Linked DNA regions of Cricetulus griseus. The protein of the gene in region 7 purifies or fractionates together with the protein of the main gene of each other region. This does not show direct contact. Links are inferred from orthologs where the notes say so. Each region holds a gene or a part of one and is shown on either strand. Other genes may lie near its edges.

Region 1 (2,399 bases), on a different chromosome or scaffold from region 7:
TTCAATGTTGCACACTGACTTTCCCTGCCGAGGTCCAGGCAGGACACTACATTTACTATATATCCAATGAGTATCTTTCAAGTTTTCCTGTGTCAAAGTGAAGAGCAAAGACTTGTCACACATCATTTTTACTGTAACAACTCAAGCAGTGACTAACATTTTAGCTATTTAGAGATAGCATGGAAAGAGTGCATATGCACTTGGCATTTAAAGTATGGTGAAAATATAAACCAAGAAATTTTTTTAACTTTTTTTTTATTAATTCATTTTTTACATCCCAATTCCAGTTCCCCCTCCCTCCTCTCTTCCTGCTCTCCCAAACCAAGAAATTTTAAATACTAAGCTCCATGGGAAACACTGCTTGAAAGGGTTAGGGTCTCATCTTTAAGCCATGACTGAATTTTCTACAGCTGGAATATTTTCTTTTTCTAATAAAAAAATGATAAATTAGAAAATAAACACAGGCTTGATTTTTTTCAATTTTTGTCTTTTAGAAATATGTGCTGTATCTCGGATTTCTAAGAAAGAAATTGGCCGCTGTTTTAAATTGATTTTGAAAGCTTTGGAAACCAGTGTGGATCTGATCACAACTGGGGATTTTATGTCCAGGTTCTGCTCCAACCTTTGCCTCCCCAAGCAAGTACAGATGGCAGCTACGCACATAGCCCGAAAGGCTGTGGAGCTAGACTTGGTTCCTGGCCGGAGCCCCATCTCTGTGGCAGCAGCAGCTATTTACATGGCTTCTCAGGCATCGGCTGAGAAGCGGACACAGAAAGGTAGGATCTTTATTAGGAAGTGTGCCAGAGAGATGCAAGGCTGGGAGTCGATGGTGAAGAATGCTAACTGTTGAGAACCCCCTAAGAAGCATCAACACAGAAGGGAGTGGGATGAGATGTAGCCCTGTTCCCCGAAAGCACCTGAAGAAAATACAGTATATTGGTTTTAAGTGATTATTTTAGAGGCATAGGCTTTCCTATATACAAGTCTACTTTTCCTACTTGAATTATTTAATTTTAATCTGTATCTTTTAGGATATAGATTACATTTACTGGAGCATGGGCAACTCACTGAAGAAAATAGTACCTCTTCCCCCAGCCACTATTAATTGTCAGTGGGACCTCAGTAAGGGGTGGCACCTTAAGGCCCTTCCCCATTTTTGTTCACTGAGGCAAGGTCTCATATAGTTTATGTTATGCTGGGGATAAACCCAGCTTTGCACATGATAGGTAGATTGTCTCAGCCCTGCAACAATACCTGGCAAAAGGAATACAATGCCTGTTACTGGATACCATGCCCTGGGTTGCTTTGCATATATTATGCCCCTTAGTATTACTAAGACACCTTTAAAGAGGCCTGTATTTACTTTGAATCCTGCTTATACATGGTAGAATGTATTTCTATTATCAGTTATAAAAAGTGAAATTGAGGGGTTGTTTTGTTTTGCTTTCCTCTTTGGTAGTAAGAGTTTGAGCAGATTTTGTTTTTTGTCTTCTTTTTTTGTCCTTTAGAAATTGGAGATATTGCTGGTGTTGCTGATGTTACAATCAGACAGTCCTACAGACTGATCTACCCTCGGGCTCCAGATCTCTTCCCTTCGGACTTCAAGTTTGACACCCCAGTGGACAAATTACCCCAGCTCTAAGCTGAGGCAACTAAGTGTCACACTCTCATGTACATGGAACTTTATACATAGCTTACATTGTGCTGGTTGAGCCTTTAATAAGATGGTACGCATTCCAGACTAAATATTATTTAGCATTCTGTATGTATATATTAGTGCAACATATTTAATGATTTAAATTTCTTACTGAATCTGCTTTCTTTTTTAGTGATTAGGAAACAGTATTTTGGAAGATACTAAATATGTAATTCTCAAATAAAACATTTTTCAAAACTAAAGTTTTTGTTATAGTAATATGAAATTTATAATTATAAATCATGTACATTATTATAGGTGATAGAGAGAGCCTGTTTCCGATCATTTTTGTATTTAGGTTCTTCAATTTAATAAAGTCGCAGAAATAGCAAAGGCTTGAGAACCATTGTTAACATCTATTTTGTAACATGAATATGCAAACCACAGGCACACATCAGAGGCTGTGTGTGAGAAGTGAGGGGCTGGGCCTTGAAAAGCATTAGGTGTTGAGGCAGGAACAGCTTGTCTCAGTTCAGAGATGACTGCAATCTGCCACCAAAACTAGCCCTTACAAGTGTGGCTTTGGCAATTAGTATAGGTCAGTCCTCAGGAAAGTTCCGAAAATAGAACCCCAGTAAGTTGTCTAGACTTAGGTCACTTTTGTTTCCTTAAGCTGTTTTGCCAGTTGATAATTAGTGAGCTTAGCATAGGCCACTTTTCATGCAGGTAAAGCAAATCCATTCTGTGCATGTTAGCATAGAAT
Region 2 (3,997 bases), on a different chromosome or scaffold from region 7:
TAAAATTTGTGTCTGTTTAAATATTTTTTATGTGCTCCTGCCCATTCCTTTTACGGAGGATGAAACCCAAAACCATGTGTGTGAAATATACGTGTATGTTTTGGGGTTTTTTGTTTTGGTTTGGTTTGGTTTGGTTTGGTTTGGTTTTGGTTTTTCGAGACAGGGTTTCTCTGTGTAGCTTTGGAGCCTATCCTGGCACTGGCTCTGGAGACCAGGCTGGCCTCGAACTCACAGAGATCCGCCTGCCTCTGCCTCCCAAGTGCTGGGATTTAAGGCGTGCACCACCAACGCCCGGCGTATGTGTTTATAAAATAAGCAATATTCAAATTTACCAATTGCCACAGGATATACTGCCCTCTTTATAGATTAGTACCATAATCCTTACTAGTCTATAGGCAATCTTGTGCTTTTTAAATTATCAAATGCTTATGTGAACTCAGTGAGGTTTGTTTGTTTGTTTGTTTTGCTAAAGAGGACTTGAAGGTGGAAGGGAAATGAGGTAGGAGGGGTCTGGGTGGAGTTGGAAGGAGGGAGTAGGGAGTGGATATGGCAAAAATACATTGCATACATGTTATGAAATTCTCAAAGAATAGAAATGATTTTAAAAGAAAAAAAAAAAGGTGGGGACTACATAGATGGATCTATGGTTAACAGCACTGGCTATTCTTGTAGACGCCCCAGGTTCGATTCCCAATGCTCACAAATATTCAGTAGCTCCAGCTCCAGGGGATCCGACGCCCTCTTTTAGCCTCCACGGGAACTGCACGTACATAGTGCACACGCATGCAGACAAAAAAGATAAAATAAGAAAAAAAAAACAATTAAGACCGGCGAGAAGGCTACAGAAATGGTTCGGCATTTAAGAGCACAAAAGGTTCTTGCAGGGGATGTGAACTCCGTTACTACCACCCACATCATGGGAGCTCACAACTGCATTTAACTCCAGTACCGCTGCCGCGCTCGCTCAAACATGCGCGCGCGATTCAAACAAGCTGTAAACGATTTACTCCCTCTCCCTACCTTCCTGTGCGTCCAACCTCCCTCAGAACCCGGCAAAGCTCATTAGACTTCACCCGAAACAGCTACCCGCGGCTGTCAACCACTAGCCGGCTAGCAGACAGCCCGCCCTCTGACTTCCTAGTATTCTCCAGGGTTTCCTTAAGATCCCGCCTCAGCGCTCCACTTTCAGGCGGTCTCCTCTCATTCTGGACCGCCCCTCCATGCTGGAAACACGTCATCCACCCGCGCCACCCGGAAACCGCGGTTCATTCTAACCTTAGGTGGCCCTAAGGTAAGCACGGCGCTTGGGTACCGGTGAGTGACTGCGTGTTAGAGTCGGGTTGGGCAGAAGGAGGAACCCCGTAGCATGAGCCGAAAGAAGTCATACCCAACGTTAAGAGGTTGGAGAGAACTTTGTGAAGTTAAACAGGAGCACTCAACGTGGTTTTTCTCCCTCCTCACTCCCCAGGAAGCCTATCATGGCGACACCCCCGAAACGGCGGGCCTTGGATACTGTAGGAGAGAAAGTGCTGCGGTACGAGGCCTTTATCAGTGACGTACTGCAGCGAGACTTGCAGTGAGTGACAACGCAGATTCTAGGCGTGACATTTGAGAAATTCCACGTGGTGGGTGGGACAGAATCCCGGGAAAACTTTCGGATTGGCCGGGAAGAGGGGTTGACGTCCGGGCTGCGATTTGGTTGGAACTTGGCCCTTGTAGTGGAGCCTCTGGCGTCGTTCGTCGGATTAAAATAGTCATAAAAACCCACGACATTTCTGACTGGGCCATTTAGCCATTACTTATGAAAAAGTTGTACATCACCTCTCCTCTCTGTGCTTTATAAACTTTGCTCATCTGTGGAATGGGAAAGTTTATGGAGCCTTCTTAATGTGGTGGTTTTGAGTTTTAAATGTGTCTACCCAGGTAAAGAATGTAACCCAAAGCCTAGACTGATAACACAGGACTGTAATTCCAGCACGAAGGAGGCAGAAGCAAGAGGATCTTCGAAGTTGGAGACCAGCCTGGAATATAAACTTGACTGTCTCTAAAAGGGGGAAAAAATTAGAATGAAGCCAGGCTCAGGCTCTGTGGTGCATGTCAGTAGTCCTATCTAGTGGAGAGGTGGAAAAATTCATTTCTTTAGCCAGGATGTTCAAGCCAGCCTTAACAGTAGAACATGGTTTTGATAAAATAAAGCCCAGTGTTGTGACACAGGCTTGTAATCCCTGTACTTGGGATGGGTGAATCAGGACGATCCAGAGCTCAAGATCATCCTCAGCTATATTTCAAAGATGAGTACAGCCTAGGCTCTGAGACTGTGTCTCAAAAAAAGAAGACAATGGAGCCAGCAAGATGGATTGCCTTGCTTCCATGTCCTGAGCTAGCTCTCTGGGATCCACATAGTGAAAACAAAAAAACTCCCAAAAGCTGTCCTATGACTCACATGGGTGTACCACGGCACCCATACATGTACACAAAATAAATACATTAAGTAAGAATACTTTTTAAAACTTTACATAAACCCAACTATACTACAGTTGTATTAAGGCTGAGAGGAAAGAACTGTCTTGTGTACTCACAAGTAGCCTGGGAAACTCAGTTCTTGTCTCAGAAAATAAAAAACAAATAACCTGGATAGTTTTGAAAAGGAATTTAGCTCCGGTGGATGAAACATACTAAAAACTCAATAATTAGATGATTAGTATTGCTGTCATTATTAATGTGAACAGAAAGTTTGGAACTAGAGCAGTGTGAGCATGGAAGGTATGTGTAGGGTGAAGATGGAGCATTTTAATTGGCATAAGGCACTGAGTACAATGCAGTATTTGTAATAGTGATGGATAGAAAGGATACAGTGTTTACCATTTGGCTGGCATTTTATAGTAAACACTTGAGTCTAATGGTTCCTATGAGGTAATACTGTCATCTCTATTTTATATGTTGTGAAACTAAGTCCCAAATAGGTTTCCTAATGCCAAAGTCACATTGCTAGTAAGAGTTAGAGCTCAGGATGAAATACAGTCTGACTTGTATTTATTGAAATACTTGGTGTGTCTTTCTCTGTCTATACTATGCGCTCGCTCGCTCTCATGTCTCCGTGTGTGTGTGTGTGTGTGTGTGTGTGTGTGTGTGTGTGTGTGTGTGTGTGTGTGTGTGTGTAACACAGGATCTCACTATGTAACCCAGGCTGGTCTTGAACTCATAATCTTCCTGCCTCAGTCTTTCAATTACTGGGATTACACTCGTGAACTACCATAATTGGCTTAAAATGCCTTTTAGGCCATGATGTGAGATATCTCAAGAGGAATAGGGCTGCCTAATGATCACTCTTCTATTTCCACGTATCAGAAAGGTGCTGGATCATCGAGACAAGGTATATGAGCAGCTGTCTGTATACCTTCAACTGAGAAATGTAATTGAGCGACTCCAGGTAAAGGCTTTTAAATTGGGTATCAGTTTGTATATGTGTACAAAGAAGGAAGATGGGAAGAGAAACCCCAAAACAAAACCTTTTTCCTGCCTTAAAAATTGGCCACTGACACCTACTTCTTTTCTCCTGGCCCTACAGGAAACTAAGCACTCGGAGTTATATATGCAGGTGGATTTGGGCTGTAACTTCTTCGTTGACACAATGGTGTGAGTGTATTCCCTCCCCTCCGAGTTTCTTCCTTCTTTCATGCAACAAGTATTTCTTAATATGTTCTATATACCAGACTCTGGTCACTTTTATATTGCACTAGGATGTAAGCTACATGCTGTGGGTGTGAAGTGAATGAACATGAAATACCGGCCCTTACAGAGCCTTAACTTTAGGGAACTGGAGGGAATAGGAAACACCTTCAACTATACAATGTGCTAAATGGTAATAAAGACTTCCTCCACTTCCTCTGACTTCTTTCCTCAGCCCAGATACTTCCCGCATCTATGTGGCCTTGGGATATGGTTTTTTCCTGGAGTTGACACTGGCTGAAGCTCTCAAGTTCATTGACCGAAAGAG
Region 3 (3,998 bases), about 68 Mb from region 7:
ACTTAGCAATATAAAGAAACATTGGCATAGATGAACTTCAAGATCATTACACTAAACATTAACAAAGCCAGACTCAGAAATTATCAAACTATTTTCCAAAGAGGTTCTACTATTTGCAAACCCCTCCCTGTTTAGCTGTCTATGGAAATCTCAGATCTTCTTCTTTCTTCTTCTTCTTCTTCTTCTTCTTCGTCTTCTTCCTCCTCCTCCTCCTCCTCTTCCTCCTCCTCCTCCTCCCTCCTCCTCCTCCTCCTCTTCCTCCTCCTCTCTCCTCCTCCTCCTCCTCCTCCTCCTCCTCCTCCTCCTCTTCTTCTTCTTCTTCTTCTTCTTCTTCTTCTTCTTCTTCTTCTTCTTCTTCTTCTTCTTCTTCTTCTTCTTCTTCTTCCTAACACTTGACAGGGTCAGTCTAATTCCTGATATTCTGATTTGTCCAAATATCCAAATCTTGTTGTTTTGTTTGTCTTGAGACAGGGACTCACTATGTCGCCTTGGCAGGTCTCAAACTCACTATGTAGATCAGGCTGGTCTTGGACTCACAGAGATTAGCCTGTCTCTGCCTCCCAAGTGCTGAGATTAAAGGCATGCACTACCACGCTTAGCTATATTGTGTTTATAAAATGCATTTTATAATTGCTAGTAATACTGGTCATTCATTGTTTTTTAAATATTTATTATGTTTTGATTGTGTGTGTGCTCGTATGTGTGTGCATGTGAACCAGGTGCCTGCAGAAGCCAGGGAAGGTTGTGAGATGCCCTAGAGGTGCAGTTAAAGGCAATTGTAAGCTACCCCACAGGGGTGCTGTTACCCAAGTTCTAGTCCTCTGCAAGAGCACTATGCACTCTTAACCACTGAGCCATCTCTACAACCCCCTGTCATTTATTTTTACGGTTATTAGTGTTCATTCAGGAATCCCTGTGAAATGTTTGTCCAAACACTGTACTGCTTAATTGAGATGTGACACTATTACTTCTGGCATACTTTGCTTAATAGAAGTGAGTCAGTAAGTCTTTGACATGGGTGTCCTATACTTTCTCAAAGCGAAGTCGAAAAGCTGGGAAAGCAAAGGACACACATCCAGCGAAAGCGCGCCAAACCCAGACACTTCTGCGGTGATGTAACTTCCGCCCCTGAGCTCTTCCTCGGGCGCCCCCTTGCTCCTGGCCCGGTCCGTTTCCGGCATTTCAATAAAGCTCCATTCGGCTCGAAGAAGCCGTGCTCTTCCGGGAAAATGGCGACTCCCGCTCGCGCGCCCGAGTCGCCGCCGGCCGCGGAGCCTGCTCCCGCCGTGGGCCCCGCCGGGGAGCCGTGCCCTCCGCGTCAGCCGCAGCCCGTGCACAATGTTCTCGCTGCCCCGCGGCTTCGAGCCCCCAGCTCCCGAGGACTTGGGGCAGCGGAGTTCGGCGGAGCTGCGGGAGAGGTTGAGGCGCCAGGAGAGACTTTTGCGCAACGAGTAAGCGGTGGCTCGGGGGTCGCGGTTGCGGGGAATCGGGACCGGGATCAAGGGATAGGCTCTCGGGGGTAGAGATCCGGGACCAGCCTCCCGCTCCCCGCCGCGGCCTTTCGGGCGAAGGTGACCTTGCGTGGTCATGCCTCCTGGCCAGGCCCGTGCTGCGCGCGGCGTTCCTCCATGCTGCCTGGCCCTCAGCAGGCAGCAGCGCCTGCTCCATTCCACGTCCCCACAGCGGCTTTGAGAAAACGTAACCCTGGGGACCCAGTCCTTGCGACCAGACGGCGTCGATCCCCGCTTCTCTATCTAGAGCCCCACTCTTTCCCAAAGCAAAGGAGACGGGGAGAGTGTGCTGTAAAGATGGGCTAATTAGGCCTAGAAAGTTTCGCTCCCGCGTAGTAGGGTGGATGATGATAGCTGACGTTTTAATTTTTAAAGGCAGCTTTGTTTAGGAGCGGGGTTGAGGTAATAAGAGGCAGAAGACGCCAAAAATGTATTTTTTTCCGAGAGATTTTTTTTCAGCAAGATGGGAAGGTGAACTGTGAAGGCAATCGAGAAACTGGGAAAACTTAAGTACTGGTGAAATAATTTGGAGATAAATACATATTCATAGTTAACAGGTGGTTGAAATTTCTGGGGAGCCACAAAGGATAATGAGAAAATTGGGAGAGAGGAATGGATTCAAGGTTAATTTTTTTTTTTTACGCGGGTGTATTTAGTGGAGGGGAATAATGGCAGGCGTTTAGTTAGTTAAAAGCCAACTGATTAAACCCTGAGAAATGGGTACTAGGCTCAAGAGAGGGCTGAATAAGCAGAGGAACCCCAGTTGCAGAGAGGCAGAAAACATGAATGTGGTGTGGTATCGGGAATAATAGAGGACCTAAGAGATCTTCATTTGTTATGTAACTAAGGGAAAGAACCAGAAAGGGAATTTCACTGAGCAAAAGGGGCCAGTGAGCACTGGAGACAGGTATTGTTTTGATTCTTTTTTTTTTTTTTTCTTCTTTTTTTCTCCAGAATGGGTTGTTAATAATAGCAATAAATTAACCTTTTGATCTCAGGACATTTTTAGATTCTTTAAGAATCACTGGGCATCCCTAAGAGCTCCTGTTTATTTATACTGGCAATATTGCTGATTTAACAGAAACAACTTAAGTCTTTCACAAAAACACATAAGTCCATCTTCCTTTGTAAGATAGTGATGTATTCTATTATGTGACCTCTGTGAAACCTGTTGTACTCAGCTTTTATGACAGAAATGGCAAATAGTGCTTTTGACCCATTTTTCAGCCTCATTAGGGTTCAAAGACCATATTTTTAAAACCACTAGTCTTTATTTATATTGAACAGGTTGAATATCTGCTTTCCTAAATACACAAACCAGAATTTTATATTTTTAGGGAGATTGGAATGTATATGTGAGTGTATTGGGACGGTATCGAGTTAAGACCCAAGTCTCAAAATGATTTCAGTTGTTTCTTATATATGACTTTCAAGGTAATTTTGTGTTGTGTTCTTTATAGCTTGGGTTTTGACTGCATCTCATCATGTGGCAAGGTGTGAAGTTTTCCACAGGGCAGTCATTGTCTGGGCTTGAAGAATTTCAGATTTTAGATTGGGAAAATATCTGATGGGTTCCTGTATTAGGCCAGATAAAAATCAGATTTATTTTGAAAAAACTTCAAAGCCAGCTTTTCTTTGAGGATTATATTCTGCCTTTTAAATACCGTGTTTTCATGTTTAAAAACATGGCTCTAATGTGTACATGTTGGTTTCTTTCTTTCTTTTTTTTGCATTTGACAGAAAATTCATTTGCAAATTGCCCGACAAAGGTAAAAAGATTTCAGACACCGTTGCCAAACTGAAAGCTGCCATTGCAGAACGTGAAGAAGTTAGAGGGAGAAGTGAACTGTTTCATCCTGTTAGTGTAGACTGTAAGCTAAGGCAAAAAGCAACCACACGAGTTGATATCGACATAGACAAGGCCCAGAATTCTGACCTGATGCTTGATACTTCATCATTAGTTCTTGACTGTTCCTCTGTAGACATCAAATCATCTAAAACAACCTCAGAAACACAAGGACCTGTACATCTCACTCACAAAGGCAATGAAGAGACTTTGGAGGCTGACTGCACAGTGAACACCGGCCCTGTTCCCGGCAGTACAGCCAGGGCACCCTCATCTGAAGTTAACAAACATCTCCCCCAACGCCCTGTTTCAAGTCAAGTGGAAGACATTTCCAGCAGCATTGACAGTCTGTTTATCACTAAGTTGCAGAAGATCACAATTGTAGACCAGAGTGAACCCTCAGAAGAAAACAGCAGCTCTGAGAACGTGCCGGAGCTCCAGAGTGAGACGCCTAAGAGGCCTCATTACATGGAAGTGCTAGAAATGCGAGCCAAGAACCCAGTGCCCCCTCCTCATAAGTTTAAGACCAATGTGTAAGTGTCACAGAACAGGGAACAGGCTTGTCCCAAGAATGTTTCATGTGGTATGCCAGTTCAGAGAGTGCTGTGTGTGTGTGAGGATCTTCTAAGCAGGAGTGAACA
Region 4 (4,286 bases), on a different chromosome or scaffold from region 7:
AGAAAGGACAGTGCTTGCTGCTCAGAAGCTAGAACACACAGCAGAGCTGGCCTTCCTCTAGAGACCTCCTTGGTCAAGGAGCTGCTCCCAATTTCAGAGACTGTGGACAGTAGGTCAGCTGCCTGGCACTGACTTTCCAAGCAACAGCTAAATTTGTTAGCTATGATTGCACTCATAAAGGTAAGCATTACATGACACCAATCTCTGTCACTTTCTCTCAAGAGGGTTAATTTTAGTGTAAGCTCTTCAACTGTGTCCCCATTTTGTATTTTTTTCCATGAACATCTTAAATATGTGTCAATTACCAAGTGGTAGAGCTCATAACTGGGCAGAGCAGAGCCCTGTGCCAGCACACAGCTCTTACTTGGGCCCTGAACAATCCAGAAAAAGTACCCTTCAATGCCTCTGGAAGAAATCAAGGACAGTCCTCCAGGCTGAGTTCTACAAAGAGGTCCTGCAAAGCCAGCACATGACAGTGTTCATGAATAGTTACTGATACACTGCATTTAGAGAAAAACTTCCCTCCTCATTAAGAGACAAGTTCTCAACTCTAGCCATCACAATGAGGTCACTTATCCCTATAGCCCTTTGAGATACACACTCCACTCCAAGTAACTTACCCACAGGTGAAGGAGTATATTAACACTTAGGCCCAAGGTAAGATTCAAAAAGCAAAGGTTTGGGGACCAGGCACTGTGGCCCACGCCTTTAATCCCAATACTCGGAAGGCAAAGGACATAGTATGTTCCAGAGGCTCTGTCTTAATACACACACACACACACACACACACACACACACACACACACACACACTCACACACTAAAATTTGAGTCCTCTATCTTCCTTCTTTTACCCCCAAAAGAATCCTTTAGTCAGAGCCTTACCCGCAAGGCTGCCCCACCTGAAGCGAAGCATCATTACTGCCTATCAAAGCACTAGCTGATCCCAGCACTCTCACAGGCAGCAGTCAGGATCCCTGGTGATTTCTCACGAGTCAACATACAGGACTTAAGAATTACACTGTGGATGCTGGCAGTGGTGTCGCACAACTTTAATCCCAGCACTTGGGAGGCAGAGGCAGGTGGATCTCTGTGAGTTTGAGGCCAGCCTGGTCTACAGGTAGAGAAACCGTGTCTCAAAAAAAAAAAAAAAAAAAAAAAAAAAAAAAAAAATCCACTGTGTACATTGTAGCTTCAGAAAACATGCAAAAGCCACTGAGGTTACATTTTTCACATCACTTGTTTGTATCTTTTAATATCTCAATCATGTAATTGCAGTAATATCAGTCACTGTTTTAAAAAACATTTAAAAAAAAAAGACTTTTTAGAAGATTTTATCTAGCCTGTCCTTACTCCACCCACCAAAAATGTCTAAAATATTGGCTAAATCAGTATCAAGGTGATCTTAATAGGGCCTCAAGATCAGGAAGAAGAGATTTACTTTGAATCTGGCAAGCAGATTCTTCCAGAGATCAGGAAACCTCCATTTCTACCAAGACTGCACAACTAATGTGAATTTCTTGGAACACACCAGAATATGGCACATTACTAAGAGTAACAAGCCAAGCACAAGTAAGGGAACCAAAAGAGCTCCCTGCTCAAACCTCAGTTACCTGGCCAAGCCCAAGATGATTTTTCTTTCCATCCTGAGCATATTAAAAAGTGATCTCAAAGGCCACTTCCTGGTCTCCCAGCAAACACTTCATACCTGGATGCTTGTGCATCTTCTCATGGCCCTGCTGCTTCCAGGAACAAAGACCCTCACCCCCTCCCTACACTGCCAACAAACCTTTGGAAAAAACACAACAGGTGAGATTAGCCTATGCTCACACAGGAAGAAAGGGTGTCCCTCTGCTCATAGGACGCTTAGCAGAGGGAAATGTGACATAAAGTGACCCCATACAGTTAACTCTTGACAGCCTAGAGACCAAACACCAGGCCGAGTCCCTCAGGTGGGGCAAGAGAGATGGAAAGAAGACCAGAATAGGGGCGAGAGAACAATCGACTGTGATGAGCAGGAATTCAGTACCAAAACCCCAGGCTTGTCAGACACACAATGGGACATTTAGGCCAAGAAAGGTGACAGGAAGGATCCCACCTTCTGCAGGGTCGTCTTTCCTAGGTAGCGACCCTTGGAGGGATTAAACTGGGGTCTGTCCAGTATCAGAAAAGAAGGGAAACTCTCCAGGGATCCCAAGCAGCAAGACTAGGGACAAGGAGGGCCTAGGGTTCTCTCCGAGCCCAAGAAGACGATTTCAGCCAGAAGACCGAAGGGAGACGCGGGCTACCAGAGTCATCGGGGGACACTAGTTGCTTCCCACCTTGACCCCCGTAGGGAGACCCTTCCGGGGGGTCTCAAGTCCCGGGGTCGAAGAGAGACAGGGAGGCAAGGTGGAAAGCACCAAGGACAATCTGGCCGAGGCAACCGAGGAGAACCAGGTCTGATTTCGGCTCCGAGCGATCCCTCAGTCCAGGCCGCGTGAAGCCTCGGCCTCAGGTACCCTGAGTCGCCGGGCTGCCCGCCTTGCCCGCGGCCCCTGGACCCGGGAGAACGAGAGGCCGAGATGGCAACGGCTGTGGCGGGCAGGGCGCCGCCGGGAGAGGCCCCCAGGCCGGGGGCGCGTCGGAGGGGGAGGGTCCCGGCACATGCGGCCTCGGTCCCCGTTCTCCAAGCAGTCACTTACGTTACTCTGGGAGTCGATGGCCTGCAGCAGCCGGTCCCTCATCTGCTGCGGAGACGCCGGAGCCGCTGTCATTGCCTGGGCGAAGCGGGGGGGAGCGGCCGGGCCGGCGGGCGGGCGGGCTGGGGCGGGGGGACGCGGGTCAGTCGCTCGCCAGCCTCCGGGAACGGAGCCGCATGTTCCCCGCGGCGCCGGAGGAGGTCGGGGCGCTCGGGGAGATGGCGGAAGACGGAGGGAAGCGGAGGGGACCGGAGCTCGGGCCCCGGGCCGCCGCCGCTGCTGCGAGCAGGGGGGGAGGAGGAGCCGACGGAGAAGCCGCCGCCGCCGCCGTCGCCGCCGCCGCCTCGAGAACCAAACTCCAGTGAGCTGCCCCCGCGCTGAGCACTCTGGGTAACCCGCGCCGCACGCAGCGTCGGCGCCACGCTGAGGAGGTTGGGAGATGGGGGCGGGCGGAGACTCTGGCTCTGGGAGGGGCCGGCTCGTGAGCCGCTTCTGTTGCCTCTGCGCATGCGCGCGCACGCGCGTTTATCAGGTCGCGTCGCCACGCCCCATGGCCCGTTCCAGAGAGCCGTTGGGAGGCAGTTGGGCGGGGCAACGGACGCTGTCTAAAGGCCACGCCCACTCCGAAAAACCGGTGGGCGGAGCTTCCTAACGGAAGCGCACCCGCTGGGTCTTGGAGCTTGGACTCTTCCTCCGGGCTGCCTCGGGGGTGCGGAGAAGGAGGACCCTCCCCTCGGATGAAGGGCCGCAGCCGGGGGCTGGGACCCGGCTCAGGAGCGACGCCAAGGAGACCCGCGCCGCGAGGACCTCGGGAGAGTTCTGCGCAGCCGCCGCCGCGGTGGAAACCGGAGGCGCGGGTCTGCGGGGCAGTGCGTGTCCCCGTATGACCCGCGCAGAGGGGACCTAAGGGCACCGCCGCCTCCGACAGGGCCTGCGCGACCCGCTCAGGAGGAAGCGCCGCTCGCGTCGCCGGCCGGAGGGACCGCCGTGCCCGAGGTGGCGGGGCTGCAGCCCGGCATCCGCCCCTTCCTGTTGGCTTTGCATCTCAGGTGCTGGAAAACAGGAACGCCCCACCGAGCAGGAAAGCAAGCGTCAGAACCACCTGGAGTTTTAGGCCACACCAAGAGAAGCGAGATGTTAAGTGTCGGGCTCCCGACCCCCCGTCTTTGGGTGACCCGGAGCTCCGCTGCAGATGACGGGAGGAGGGCGGGCGGGCGGGCGGCGGGCTCCGAGGTTACCTTAAAGATCCAGACTGGAAACGGAAGGGAAACAGGTAATGGGAACCACATGTGCTCCTGAGAGCTGGGCGACCCCTGTTAATTTTGAATTTGTTATACTTCTGAGGGTTAGCCGGGATCGGGGGATGGGGGAGAGGGGGAGGGAGAGCCTGGCATTTAATGCCAGTGCTCGGTTGGCCCGAGGATCTCTGGAGTTCGTGCCCAGCCTGGTCTACACAGTGAGCCCCAGACCAGCCAGGACGGAAAGTCAGAACCTGTCCTTCCCTCTCCCCTCCACAAACAAAAGCTTTATCATGGCTTGTTTAATTCTGCACCTGGCAGAAGCCTGCGTTACACTAGTAGAACGAAAACGTACTTCTTACATACAC
Region 5 (4,215 bases), on a different chromosome or scaffold from region 7:
ACGGCCATACCACTCTGAACATGCCCGATCTCATCTGATCTCAGACGCTAAGCAGAGTTGGGCCTGGTTAGTACTTTGATGGGAGAAAATGCCTCTATAACGTTTTGGGCTGTAGGCAAACCTGTAGGGCATCTTCTTAATTAGTGATTGATGGGGGAATAGTTTAGCTCATTGCCTGTAATGTTACCCCTGGGTTTATGGTCCTGGGTTCTATAAGAAAGCAGGTTAAGCAAGCCTTTCGGACAAGCCAGTAAGCAGCACCTCCCCATGGCCTCTGCACCAGCTTCTGCCTCAGGGTTCCTGCCCTGTTGGAGTTTCTGTCCTGACTTCCTTTGATGATGAACAGTGATGTGGAAGTATAAGCCAGATAAACCCTTCCCTCCCAAGTTGCTTTTGGTCATGGTGTTTCCTCACTGCAATGGTAACCCTGACTAAGACAGTGGTGTATGAAGCAGTACTCAAACATTCTGGTCTTGGGATTCCTTTATATTCTTAAAACTAGAGCTTTTTCACATATGGATAATATCTGTCGGTATTTACTACATTCAGATTAAAACAAATTAAAAACAATTTATTTCACTTGACAATACCAAGCCTGTCAGATGTTAACTTTTAAATGCATTCTATTAAATGAGTGAACTGATGTACATTTTTTGCTTGTATTTTTTTAGCTGGATTGAACTTGGAAGTATATTATGTCAGAATAAATCAAGAGGATCCGTCACCTGTTATCAATCACCATTTCATTACCTTATGGATTGCTTTGTCATCCTAGCTAATCTGCTCACAATACATTTTAGCTGGAGCTGGGAGTGTAGCTCAGTGGTAGAGTACTGGCCTAGGATGCAAAGTATTATGCAGCTCCACAGGAAATGCTTTCCTGAACAGTTCTCGAATACGTCTAGCATCTCTAACCCTCCACACCACCTCGCCCTAAATTAAACCTTACATCCAAGCACTGCCTTGCTGTTCTGTGCTCAGACAAACCAAATTTCTCCATGTGACACAGTAGATAGTACATGAACAGAATTCTGCCTCCTTCCCTCCCTCTGGGGATGTTATACACACCCGACCCCAGGCTCTTCATACACACTATCCCCCTAGCTGAACTTCTCTCATCCCTACTGTGTGCTTTACACCTACTCTCTTCAGGGTTTAGAGAAGCCTTGTCTTGAAAACCCACAGGCCACCCCCTGCCAATCTAAATCATTAGCCCTGCCTCATATCTCCTTTTTCTTCATAACACTTACTGCAACTGGTGATGACATATTCATTTGTGTTAGTTTAACTGACATTTCTCAGTCCCAGTGCACTAACCCAAATACAGGCTATCTTGTATTTGGAAAATATTTTGAAAGAAGAGTTTAGTGAATCTTGAAGTGTTGAGTCACGGAGACTTTTAATCTCTTCACAGACAATACCTCTCTTAGAGATCTTTTGTGACATGAGAGATAGATAGTAAAGGGTGGTTTTGGTTTGTTTTTAAATCTGCATTTAATGCTAGGAGACGAAGGGTTCCAGTGAGTCTGGCATATACAACAGTAAGCATGGATGTGAAGAGATGGGGAAGGAATGCTTGGTTAATTCAGGGATGGTGTGCCCACTATGTTTCCAACAGTTTCCAACAGCCTTAGCCTCCAGTTTGCTTTCCTTAAAGTTTTGAGAACTATTAGTGCTCCCTACATCTTCTCATAAGTTTGTTCTCAGTACATAGTTCAATGCCCAAATCCCAAGACTAGAAAATAAAACCAAACAAATCTGATCCAATTAATGAGATAAAAGGAAAGTGGCTATACCTTCTGGAAGCATCTTCTGGTTGGAGGGCACTTGTCTGTTTAGTTCCTACAATTGAAGAGATAACAGCAAATGCAAACACACATTTGATGTAGCAGTCTTACCCAAATAACACACTGTGGGCAGCTTTTCCTTTTCTCTCACAAATTTCATTTCTAGGTAGACAAGAAGGAAACTCCATTGCTTCTGTAAATTAACTACATCTCAATTTTTCTTGACTAAAATCTCTTTGGGGACTGGCTTTTTTCATGTATCATATCAGCTTTAATCAAGTACTTCTTTAAAACAAACAAACAAACAAACAAACAAAACAAGCCAGGCGGTGGTGGCACATGCCCTTAATCAGGAGACAGAAGGCAGGCGGATCTCTGTGAGCTCAAGACCAGACTGGTCTACAGAGGTAGTTCCAGGACAGAGCTAGGGCTGCTACACAGAGAAACCCTGTCTCAAAAAACAAAAATAAATAATAAATAAAAAATAAAAAACAAAACAAAACTTAAAGCTTTAGGATAAACATTTCTCGGTCTCCCAAATGCTAGATAGCTTGCCTAAAAAGAGGCGCTGATACCTCAGAGACCAGGCCCCAAAGCAGTCCAAAAGGAGGTGTAGTCCAGGATTCGAGGCGGCTGAACACCACCTGTTCTTGGCCCCTTGTGCTGGGGTCCCCAGCACGGCCCACGCAGGGGAAGACCCCGGAACACCCGCGTGAGGCCGCGGGATTCTTTCCCGAGGGCACCGGGGCAGCCACCCGCCACTCGGAGCCCTCCCTCCCCCGGGGGCAGACTGGGCAAGCAGCCCGCGCGCGCAGTGTAGACTCAAGCCAGGGTCTCGGGGTCCAAACCTGGAAGAGGCTACGGTTCGTACCTGCAGCCTTTCGGTAGGTGCTGGAGGCCGGGGCACTCGGGCCCAGCGAGAAAGGAACCGCAGAATCAGCCATGGAAAACGCAGTCAGAAGGTGAGACGCTGGCGGCCGCCAGGCTCCGCCCCCCATGCGTCTTCCGGACCGTGCTGGGGGCGGGCCCATGGAGGGAGGGGCGAGCGCTGGAGAGGGTGTACCCAGTCCAGGGGCGGGGCGAGCACCGGAGGGGACGGGCCCAGGGAGGGCGGGGCGAGCGCCGAAGGGTGAAGACCCAGCCCAGGGGCGGGGCGAGCGCCGGAGGAGGCGGGGTCCCAGAGGCGGGGCGAACGCCGGAGGGGGCGGGCCCGACCTAGGGGCGGGGCCAGGAGTGAGGCCTGCGCTGCGGGAGGTGGAGAAGGCGAGCGGTCTGGCGGGTAGGTGGACGAGCTGGCTAGGGCTGGTCCAGGCTGGCTCATCAGGACCCTGGCAGCGCGAGGCTCGCCTGCTAGGCCCCTCGAGGTGCTGGAGCCTGGATGCTCTGCCCAGTAGGAACAGGGAAACAGGCAGGGAAACAGGGAGAAATGGCTCCCCCTCGGCTCAGCCCACAGGCGCGGTAGGGTGTGATTTTGCTGTCCGCGCCTGGGGGGCAGCGATTCCACCAGCCCCCGGGGCCGCATGCTGTGCTGGTCACCACCGAAGGCCTTCTCTTCGGGTGGTTCGGTGATCTCACTGACTAGGTTTGGTTCCTGTGGAGAGGGCAGGTCTTGTGGGGCATGGGGTGAAGGGCGTCAGAGTCTTCAACTTATTTGGGTGACTTAATTGTGTTGGATTTCAGTATTTATCAATGGGACATTTTAAAGATTCCCTAATGATTAGAATTCTTATGCCAGGTCTACCGTTTTTGTTTTTGATTTTGTTTTTTTTTTTTCATGAAAGGAATACTTTCCTCTTTTGAAAAAAAGTTCTTCTAGGAAGTTCTCTCTAGGGTTCTTTTTCTTTTTTAAATCTCTTTTCATTCTTTAGGCAATACACTAGAGGCTTTAAAAATGTTCTAGTAGACTAGCACACTAGCGTTCAGTAATACCATTTAAGCTATAAAAATTTACATTGTATTTATGTGTTTTCTATTAATTCAGAATGAAACAGTTTATGAAACATAATTTACATAGTATCACAACTAACTGTGTTTTGTATTCATTTCATCATCAAGACTAGGACACTTATTAGGAATGGCTGTTGAGGAACTTCAGTGCATAATAAAAAGATGTGTAAGTAATTCTCTAAAACCACCTGTAAAATATGGCAAGGGCATAGATTATCTTTAATTACTTTGTGGTCACTCACATTATTTACCTTATCTATAATTCCAGCTTTTTTTGTTTTTTACTTGTAAATAAACAGCATAAGAGTAGGAAGGTAGATTGGATTTGTGTGTGTGTGTGTGTGTGTGTGTGTGTGTGTGTGTGTGTGTGTGGGCCTTTAATCCCAGTACTTAGGAGGCAAAGGCAGGGAGGTCTCTGTGAGTTTGAGGTTGGCCTGATCTACATAGTGATTTCCAGGACAGCAAGGGCTATAACAGAAAG
Region 6 (3,500 bases), on a different chromosome or scaffold from region 7:
CTGATGCCTGAAGTTGACCTCTGGATTCTACTTATAGGTCCACTTGTGCATGTGACCATACAGAATTATAAAAAATGGAAATCAAGGAGAATTGAAAAAATTGAAATCCCTTAGTAAATATGATTTTAAATTGATATTTTGAAGAAGCACTTACTGAAGTATCAGGAATATTTTCTTTAGGTGTTTCATTACCAAAAGATAGTTTTGGTTGATTTAGTAAGAAATGAAATTTTCATTTATGACTGTAAAGTAAGTAGATTTGACAAAATATGACTTGCTTAAGAGGATCTTATGTTACTTTTCAGTTTTTTGTCTTGTAGACTTTTCTGCCTGGACATGGCAGAATACATTTGTAATTTTGGCAGACAAGAATATCATTGGGTTGAGCCCACTCTGGTTATATAAGGAGATCCAGGGGTTTGTTTTTATTTTCAGGAGCACTTTGATTTCATTAACTTCAGCCTGAACCAATGAATTCTTTTTCCATGATTCTGAGGTTTGTCAGTGTACAGGGTTGAATCTCATCATTGTCAGTTTGTACTGATCAATAATTCTTGGGCTTTCCTAGGTATAAAACAGGAATTGTGGATTTTTGTATAATAAGAGCAGCACTTCTATTGATCTGGCTTTGTAAGACTTTGTGGTTCCTGCTTTTCTGTTTATCATTGCTGTCTTTTACAAACAAAATTGGTCTTGAAAGCATTGTCTGTGTGATGCACGCCTGTAATCCCTACATTTTTTAAGAGAACAAAAGATTGAAAGTTTGAGGATAGCCTGGCCTACATAGCAACATTCTGTCTCAGAAAAACTGGAAAGAAACCAAAAGAGGGGTGGAACAGTGGCCCAGCAGTTAAGACCATGTCTTGCTCTTGTTCCCAGCACTCGTATCTGGTAGTGACTCCAGCTCCAGAGTATTTAATGCCTTCTTCAGTCCTCCCCAGGCTCCAGAACACATATGGCATACATTCACACAATATACACACATACACATAAATAAAAATAATTTAGAAAAAATAAAAGAGCCAGGCTGTAGTGGCATGTGCCTATAATCTCAGTACTCAGAAAGCAGAGGCAGGGAGAGCTCCATGAGTTCAAGTCCAACCTGGTCTACATAGCAGAGCTATGTAGTTGAAACCGTGCCTCAAAAATAAATAATTAAATAACCTTGAATTTTAAAGGGGGGGGGGGAGCTAAGTGTTATGGTACACACTTAAAATCTCGGCGTTAAGGAGGTGGAGTCAAGAGGATTAAGAGTTTAAGGCTAGCCTGTATTACATGAGAACCCTACGCCCCTCATAAAGAGACAGGACTGGGCCTGGAGAAATGACTCGGCAGTTAAGAGCACTGACTTCTCTTCCAGAGGACCCAGGTTCAGTTCCCAGCAATCACAGGGCAGCTCACAGCTATCTGTAACTCCAGTTCCATGAGATCTGACACCAATGCACATAAAATAAAAAAATAATAAAAATAAAAAAATTTAAAAAGACAGGACTGGAGAGATGATGTTTAGCACCTGCGTAGTTTATAGGTGTTGTAACTCCAGTTCTAGGGGATTCAATACCTTTCTCTGGCCTCTTTGGGCCTCAGGCATTCAAGTGTACATAGACATATATGAGGATATGAGGGCAAAACAACCATACACACACACAATAATTTTAAAAGTGACAGTAAAACTGCAAGAGATAGACTTGTTGAAAAAATGTTGAAGCAGATTTCTGAATTTTGTATGTGTTCTTATTGAAAACAGCAGTGCATGGTAACACTGGAGTAAGTTGTGATGGGTGGGAGGGTGGGAACATCCATCTGTGTTTAGAGCGACTCCACAGCTCAGACACAGATACTGCTTAGAATGCTGTGCTAAGCTGTGAATGATTCTGACATGCAAAATCCCTCTTTCCTGTGACCTTTTAGTACTGGACTTGTGTCTGGATTGTTCAGGGACTCTCTGAATGCTTCACTGTTTTAAATTGATAAATTGTCCTGATGTTTTCTGTGACATGTAGTCACTGCCTGTTTAGTCTGGATTCCTTTTAACTTCATATTTTAAAGTCTATCTGGTTCCCACCAGAGTGAATGATAGTATCTAATAAGCCTGCCTTGTTTTCGTTCTGATGTTCGTAGTTGTTCTTTTTAACCCCTCTAATCTGTGTTTCTACAGGCCTGTCATCTTTACTTCAGAGTGTTACTGGGAACCCAGTGCCAGCCAGTGAAGCTACATCCCAGAGCTCTACGGCCTCCCCTGCCAGCACCACCAGCTCTGCCATAAAGGGGAGAAATGTGCTCTCCAGTACCCAGTCTTTTATTTCCAAAAGCTTCGGCTATTCCCCCAATTCTTCAACTTCTGAAGTCTCTTCGACTTCAGCAAGCAAGGCATCAGTTGGGCAAAGCCCAGTGCTCCCAAGCACTACTTTTAAATTACCATCCAGTTCTTTAGGATTTACAGGTACCCACAATACTAGCCCTGCTGCTCCACCTACTGAAGTTGCCATGTGCCAATCCTCAGAAGTCTCCAAGCCAAAGCTGGAATCAGAGTCCACTTCCCCAAGCCTGGAAATGAAGATCCACAACTTCTTAAAAGGTAACCCTGGTTTCAGTGGGTTAAACTTAAACATCCCAATCCTGAGCAGCTTGGGATCCAGTGCCCCATCAGAGAGCCACTCCTCAGACTTCCAGCGTGGTCCTACTAGCACTTCAGCTGACAACATCGATGGCACCCCTGTTCGGGATGAACGGAGTGGGACACCCACCCAGGATGAGATGATGGACAAGCCCACATCCAGCAGTGTAGACACCATGTCCCTGCTGTCTAAGATCATCAGTCCTGGTTCCTCAACACCAAGCAGTACAAGATCACCACCCCCTGGAAGAGATGAAAGCTACTCCCAAGAGCTCCCCAATTCTGTGTCTACATATCGGCCCTTCGGCCTGGCCAGTGATGCTTCCTACAAGCAGCCACCTGAGGGAGTCGAGAGACCATCTTCCCTGATGGACTCTTCACAGGAAAAGTTCTTCCCTGACACTTCTTTCCAGGAAGATGAGGATTATCGAGATTTTGAATATTCAGGGCCTCCACCCTCTGCCATGATGAACCTAGAGAAGAAACCAGCCAAATCCATCCTGAAGTCAAGCAAACTTTCTGACACCGCCGATTACCAGCCAATCATGTCCAGTTATAACCACAGGGCCCAAGAGTTTGGGGTAAAGTCTGCCTTTCCTCCATCTGTAAGGGCACTCCTAGACTCTAGTGAGAACTGTGACCATCTCTCATCTCCCCCTGGGCTATTTGGTGCCTTCAGTATAAGAGGGAATGAACCTGGGTCAGACCGGTCACCATCACCGAGTAAGAATGATTCGTTTTTCACCCCTGACTCCAACCACAGTAGCTTGTCTCAGTCCACCACTGGCCATCTCACTCTGCCACAGAAGCAGTACCCAGACTCTCCTCACTCAGTCCCCCATCGTTCCCTTTTCTCTTCGCAGAATACCCTTGCCGCTCCAAC
Region 7 (4,100 bases):
GAAGGGTTCCAAAGCCCTCTGGCACCTGGCATTGTCTTCACTTGTCCCCTGGTGGCACTGCCATCTTCCATGTTATACAGTGAAGTTTTAGTGCTCATGTACCAATGGCTAGGCTGGCTCATACCTGTTACTCCAAAGACTAGGAGACTGAGTTATTGTTCCTGTTGCTGTGTCTACAAACCCGACAGAAGCATCCTCAGGAAGGGTTGGGATGTCATAGCAACAGGAGTGCCAGGCAGCTGATCACATTGCCACCTGCATCCAGGAAGCAGAACAAGATGGTTTCCTTTCCTCTTTTATTCAGTCTGAGGGCTTAGCCTCTAGGATGGCATCATGCACGTGGTGAGTCCTTAATGGTGAGTCCTTAATGGTGAGTCCTTCCTTCCTCAGTTAAACCTGTCTAGAATCTCACCAACACACTCAGAAGTTTTTGTTTTGTTTTGTTTGTATATACATTGTGTGTACACAGGGAGGTCAGAGGAATTGGTTCTCAACTTCTCCCACATGGGTCCTGGGGATTGAACTCATGTAGTCAGGCTTGGTGACACTATCTTTACCCACTGGACTGTCCTGCTGGCCCACTTGTCTGTTTCCACAATGATACTAAATCTCATCAGGTTGACAAAATGAACCATCATGGAGGCTGGAGAAATAGCTCAGCAGTTAAAGACTGACTACTCTTTCAGGACTAGAGTTGGGTTCCCAGCACCTCCAAGGCTGGTCTCCAAAGGCTCCTGTATGTACGTTCTGCACAGACAGGCAGATAGAAATCTTTAAAAATAGGAAAAATAGCCACAATAGCCACAAAGACGGCTGAAAAGCAGAGAGGTGCCAGGCTGTCATTGTTTTTTGGTTACCTGTGTGTCCAACAGAGGATCCGCTGGCACCCTGTCACTTTTACACACCTTCCTGCTCCTCATCCAGCCAGCCGGGGTCCTGCAGCAGCAGCTCATACACATACACAGCTTGGATTCCAGCTCAGTGAGCCAGTTGCAGGTGGCCCAGCCTTCCCTCGCTGGAATATGCGCCAAAGAGCCGCCTGGTGAAAGCCACTTTTTTTTTTTTCTTTTTGTTTGTTTTGTTTTCAAGACAGGGTTTCTCTGTGTTGTTTTGAAGCCTATCCTGGCACTCACTCTGTAGACTAGGCTGTCCTCGAAACCACAGAGATCCGCTTGGCTCTGCCTCCTGTGCTGGGAGGTGCTGCCCCTGGGGTTTGGACAGGATTTCTAACCTGCTCCGCCTCGCCTGCTCGTGCCTGCCGAAGGTCATCCGGTCCACCAGGGGGCGCGGGGCCAGGGGCTTTGATTGGCTGTGTCCTCGTGACCCGGAAGTGGTCGCGGTCCGGAGCTCAGTGTGGTAACGGCGGCTGCGGCTTGAGTCTGGGAGCCGGAGCGCACCTCTAGGATGAACGCTCCTCCGGCCTTCGAGTCGTTCTTGCTCTTCGAGGGCGAGAAGAAGTAAGTGGAGGCCGTTAGCTCTGGCGCGGTGAGCACTGTGCTTCGTGCGCGTCTGCCGAACTTCAGGCGGTGGTGCGATGTACGCCTGTGTTACAGCGGGGAAACTGAGGCCGGGGCACGTCGAGCCCTTGCTCCAGACACTTAGGAAGTGTCGGGGACTGTATTCGAACTCAGAGTGTCAGGCTCCCTTTTCACTGGTCTGCAGCCCCATTATCCATGCTGCGCAGCGATGGCTTTAGAGCTCACCCCCCTGCATAGGGTGCGATCGCCTGTGATTCCAGGACTTGGCGACTGAGGCAGGAGGATAATGATGGTAGCGGTGAAGGGACCGAGACACAGCTACCCTCTCACACTCCTCAGCAGCCTGAGGATTTCCTCTAGATTTTCAGGGATCTCGGCCAAACTCAGGTTCGTGGCTTCAACACTAGAAAGAATTTCAGGACTCGACGGTTTAATGACGCACTCAGGAGGCACAGGCAGACGGATCTCTGAGTTCAAGGCCAGCCTGGTCTATAGAGGTAGTTCCAGGACCAAGAGAAATCCCGTTCTGAAAAAGAAAAAAGGAGCAATCCTGTGTGGGAAAGGGTCCTTGGTGTGTATAGATAAGGTGCCATCACGGAGTAGAGAAGGTTCCTTGTTTTTTTGTTTTGGTCATGCTGGGGACTGGACCCAGGGTCTGGCCCATGCTAGGTTACTGCTCTATCAATAAGCTACACTCGAGCTTTTTTTTTTTTTTTGTAGTTTTCTTTTGGTTTTTCAAAACAGGGTTTCCTCTGTGTTGCTCTGGCTGTCCTGGAACTCGCTCTGTAGTGCAGGCTGGCTTCGAAGTCACAGAGATCCTCCTGCCTCTGCCTCCCAAGCGCTGGATCAAAGGTGTGCTCCACCACTGCCTGGCTCACTCCAGCTCCCCCTGCCCAACATTTGCTAGGCTGGGGAGATGGCTCAGTGGGTCACAGCTCAAAGCATTTGCTGAGGATTGGTGTGGATCTCCAGAAGCCGTGTCAAAGCTGTGCAATGTGCCTACTTCATTGCTCCTCCAGGGACGTGGAAGTGTAGATAGGAGTCAGCCAGCATGGTCTGTCAAGGAAGGCAAGGATGACAGTGTTTTTCTCTGCCCTCCTGCCCCCGTCACTGGGATTACTAGTCCCAGTGACTAGTCCCAGCAGGCCTACCTTGCTTGTTTTGTTTGGAGGGGGAGTGAGTGGTAGGATGAAACCCAGAGCCTTAAAAATTTGAGATAAATGGTGACCCATTGAACCATGCCAGAGCTCTCAGAGAGCCCTTTGGGGCGAGCAGACTGGGGATAGTGGGACTTGCAGAATGATGGCCTCCCTTGAATTGTTAGGGGGTTTGGAGACAAGCTGTTTTCTGTCTTCTAGGAAAGAATTTAGTCAAGAGCTAGTTTAAGACAACCAATTTGTATGAGGGAAAGAGCTGGATGTTTTTGTTTCTGGGGTAGTGGGAACAGCCCAACTGCAGTTTCTAGAATGTTTGATCACAAAGGGGACACCGATTTGAGAATCAGTGTCAGCATCACAAGAGCTGGATGTGGGGCCAGGGAAAGCTATCACCCTCAGCCTTTGCCTGTCTCATTGTAGAATCACCATTAACAAGGACACAAAGGTGCCCAATGCTTGCCTGTTCACCATCAACAAAGAAGACCACACTCTGGGGAACATCATCAAATCGTAAGTCCCAGGCCAGAGGCCTCGAGTGTCACCAGAGCTCTGTAGGCTGAGCACATGCCCTGGGACGGTTCCTTCCGTCTCTCCGCAGCTTGCTGGCACTTTAACCTGTCACTGACAGGTCTGTTCACATGCGGCTTGCTTTTGTTGGCTTTTTGATGTAGGGGTTCATGTAGTGTAGACTGGACTCAAACTGACTCACCTTACCATGGTTGCCGGGATCCTGGCCACGTAACACGTAACACATCAGCTTCCTGTTGGCTCATTCATGTAGTGTATAAGTTTGCAGTTGCCTCTTGGTCTTTTGGCCAAGATCAAGTTCAGGGGACTCCAGCAAAGCAGGTTTTCATTTTAGTGGGCATCAAGATGCTAAGAGGTGATGGGTATGGTGGTACACACCTGTAATTCCAGCACTCGGGAGGCAGAGGCAGATGGAGTACTTGTGAGTTCAGAGCCAGCCTGGTCTACATAGTAAGCTCTAGGACAGCCAGTTACATACAGTATCTCAAAAAGATAAAGCAAAGGGGGCCAGCAGTGTCACCTCACTTACCCCTACATTTGATAGAAAGCTGCAGGCATCGGCAGATTACCAAACTTTTGTTACTGGGTGATTGCCAGTGCTTTCAGAGCTGGGGGGGTGACAGACGGTCCCCACCTGACATGAGTGCTGGGAATTGACTCTGGCTCCTCTCCAAGAGCAATACTTTCTTTAAATTTAAAACACCTTTTGCCTATGTATGTCTACCGTGTGTCTGTTACCCATGAAGGTCAGAAAGAACTAGATCCCTTGGAGCTGGAGGTACAGGTGGTTAGATGCCACATGGGTGCTGGAAACCTTTTAACTAATCCAGTTCTCCAGCCTTCCCTGCATGTAATGTGCTGGGTCTGGTGGTTTGTGCCTTTAACCACAGCAGGCAGATCTCTGTAAGTTCAAAGCCAGCTTGGCCTACATTGAGTT

What was found.
Region 1: the proteins of DNA-directed RNA polymerase II subunit RPB11-a (region 7) and Gtf2b purify together in Homo sapiens (affinity purification with mass spectrometry; 3 studies listed by BioGRID and IntAct, with this or other methods). This does not show direct contact. The link is inferred for Cricetulus griseus from reciprocal best matches to the Homo sapiens genes POLR2J and GTF2B.
Region 2: the proteins of DNA-directed RNA polymerase II subunit RPB11-a (region 7) and Uxt purify together in Homo sapiens (affinity purification with mass spectrometry; 3 studies listed by BioGRID and IntAct, with this or other methods). This does not show direct contact. The link is inferred for Cricetulus griseus from reciprocal best matches to the Homo sapiens genes POLR2J and UXT.
Region 3: the proteins of DNA-directed RNA polymerase II subunit RPB11-a (region 7) and Polr2m purify together in Homo sapiens (affinity purification with mass spectrometry; 3 studies listed by BioGRID and IntAct, counting the BioPlex papers as one, with this or other methods). This does not show direct contact. The link is inferred for Cricetulus griseus from reciprocal best matches to the Homo sapiens genes POLR2J and POLR2M.
Region 4: the proteins of DNA-directed RNA polymerase II subunit RPB11-a (region 7) and Med26 purify together in Homo sapiens (affinity purification with mass spectrometry; 5 studies listed by BioGRID and IntAct, with this or other methods). This does not show direct contact. The link is inferred for Cricetulus griseus from reciprocal best matches to the Homo sapiens genes POLR2J and MED26.
Region 5: the proteins of DNA-directed RNA polymerase II subunit RPB11-a (region 7) and Rpap2 purify together in Homo sapiens (affinity purification with mass spectrometry; 5 studies listed by BioGRID and IntAct, with this or other methods). This does not show direct contact. The link is inferred for Cricetulus griseus from reciprocal best matches to the Homo sapiens genes POLR2J and RPAP2.
Region 6: the proteins of DNA-directed RNA polymerase II subunit RPB11-a (region 7) and Rprd2 purify together in Homo sapiens (affinity purification with mass spectrometry; 3 studies listed by BioGRID and IntAct, with this or other methods). This does not show direct contact. The link is inferred for Cricetulus griseus from reciprocal best matches to the Homo sapiens genes POLR2J and RPRD2.

The regions. Positions count from the first base shown.
Region 1 is NW_023276806.1:16,358,128-16,360,526, reverse strand, and holds the end of Gtf2b (transcription initiation factor IIB), read left to right. Parts: intron 1-494; coding exon 495-776; intron 777-1,508; coding exon 1,509-1,642; 3' UTR 1,643-1,899; downstream 1,900-2,399. UniProt on the Homo sapiens protein: General transcription factor that plays a role in transcription initiation by RNA polymerase II (Pol II). Involved in the pre-initiation complex (PIC) formation and Pol II recruitment at promoter DNA.
Region 2 is NC_048604.1:125,813,291-125,817,287, reverse strand, and holds the start of Uxt (protein UXT), read left to right. Parts: upstream 1-1,197; 5' UTR 1,198-1,291; exon of another isoform or gene 1,292-1,468; 5' UTR 1,469-1,478; coding exon 1,479-1,576; intron 1,577-3,348; coding exon 3,349-3,430; intron 3,431-3,568; coding exon 3,569-3,636; intron 3,637-3,904; coding exon 3,905-3,997. UniProt on the Homo sapiens protein: Involved in gene transcription regulation. Acts in concert with the corepressor URI1 to regulate androgen receptor AR-mediated transcription. Together with URI1, associates with chromatin to the NKX3-1 promoter region.
Region 3 is NC_048597.1:182,991,350-182,995,347, reverse strand, and holds the start of Polr2m (protein GRINL1A), read left to right. Parts: upstream 1-1,198; 5' UTR 1,199-1,338; coding exon 1,339-1,451; intron 1,452-3,251; coding exon 3,252-3,890; intron 3,891-3,998.
Region 4 is NW_023276806.1:247,288,613-247,292,898, forward strand, and holds the start of Med26 (mediator of RNA polymerase II transcription subunit 26), read right to left. Parts: upstream 2,801-4,286; 5' UTR 2,756-2,800; coding exon 2,684-2,755; intron 1-2,683. UniProt on the Homo sapiens protein: Component of the Mediator complex, a coactivator involved in the regulated transcription of nearly all RNA polymerase II-dependent genes.
Region 5 is NC_048600.1:2,358,648-2,362,862, reverse strand, and holds the start of Rpap2 (putative RNA polymerase II subunit B1 CTD phosphatase RPAP2), read right to left. Parts: upstream 2,801-4,215; 5' UTR 2,786-2,800; coding exon 2,659-2,785; intron 1,843-2,658; coding exon 1,797-1,842; intron 1-1,796. Other genes in the region: Glmn (glomulin), read left to right, coding at 3,308-3,369, 3,843-3,900.
Region 6 is NW_023276806.1:60,735,635-60,739,134, forward strand, and holds part of Rprd2 (regulation of nuclear pre-mRNA domain-containing protein 2), read left to right. Parts: intron 1-2,158; coding exon 2,159-3,500.
Region 7 is NC_048597.1:115,111,156-115,115,255, forward strand, and holds the start of DNA-directed RNA polymerase II subunit RPB11-a, read left to right. Parts: upstream 1-1,300; 5' UTR 1,301-1,404; coding exon 1,405-1,457; intron 1,458-3,055; coding exon 3,056-3,145; intron 3,146-4,100. UniProt on the Homo sapiens protein: Core component of RNA polymerase II (Pol II), a DNA-dependent RNA polymerase which synthesizes mRNA precursors and many functional non-coding RNAs using the four ribonucleoside triphosphates as substrates.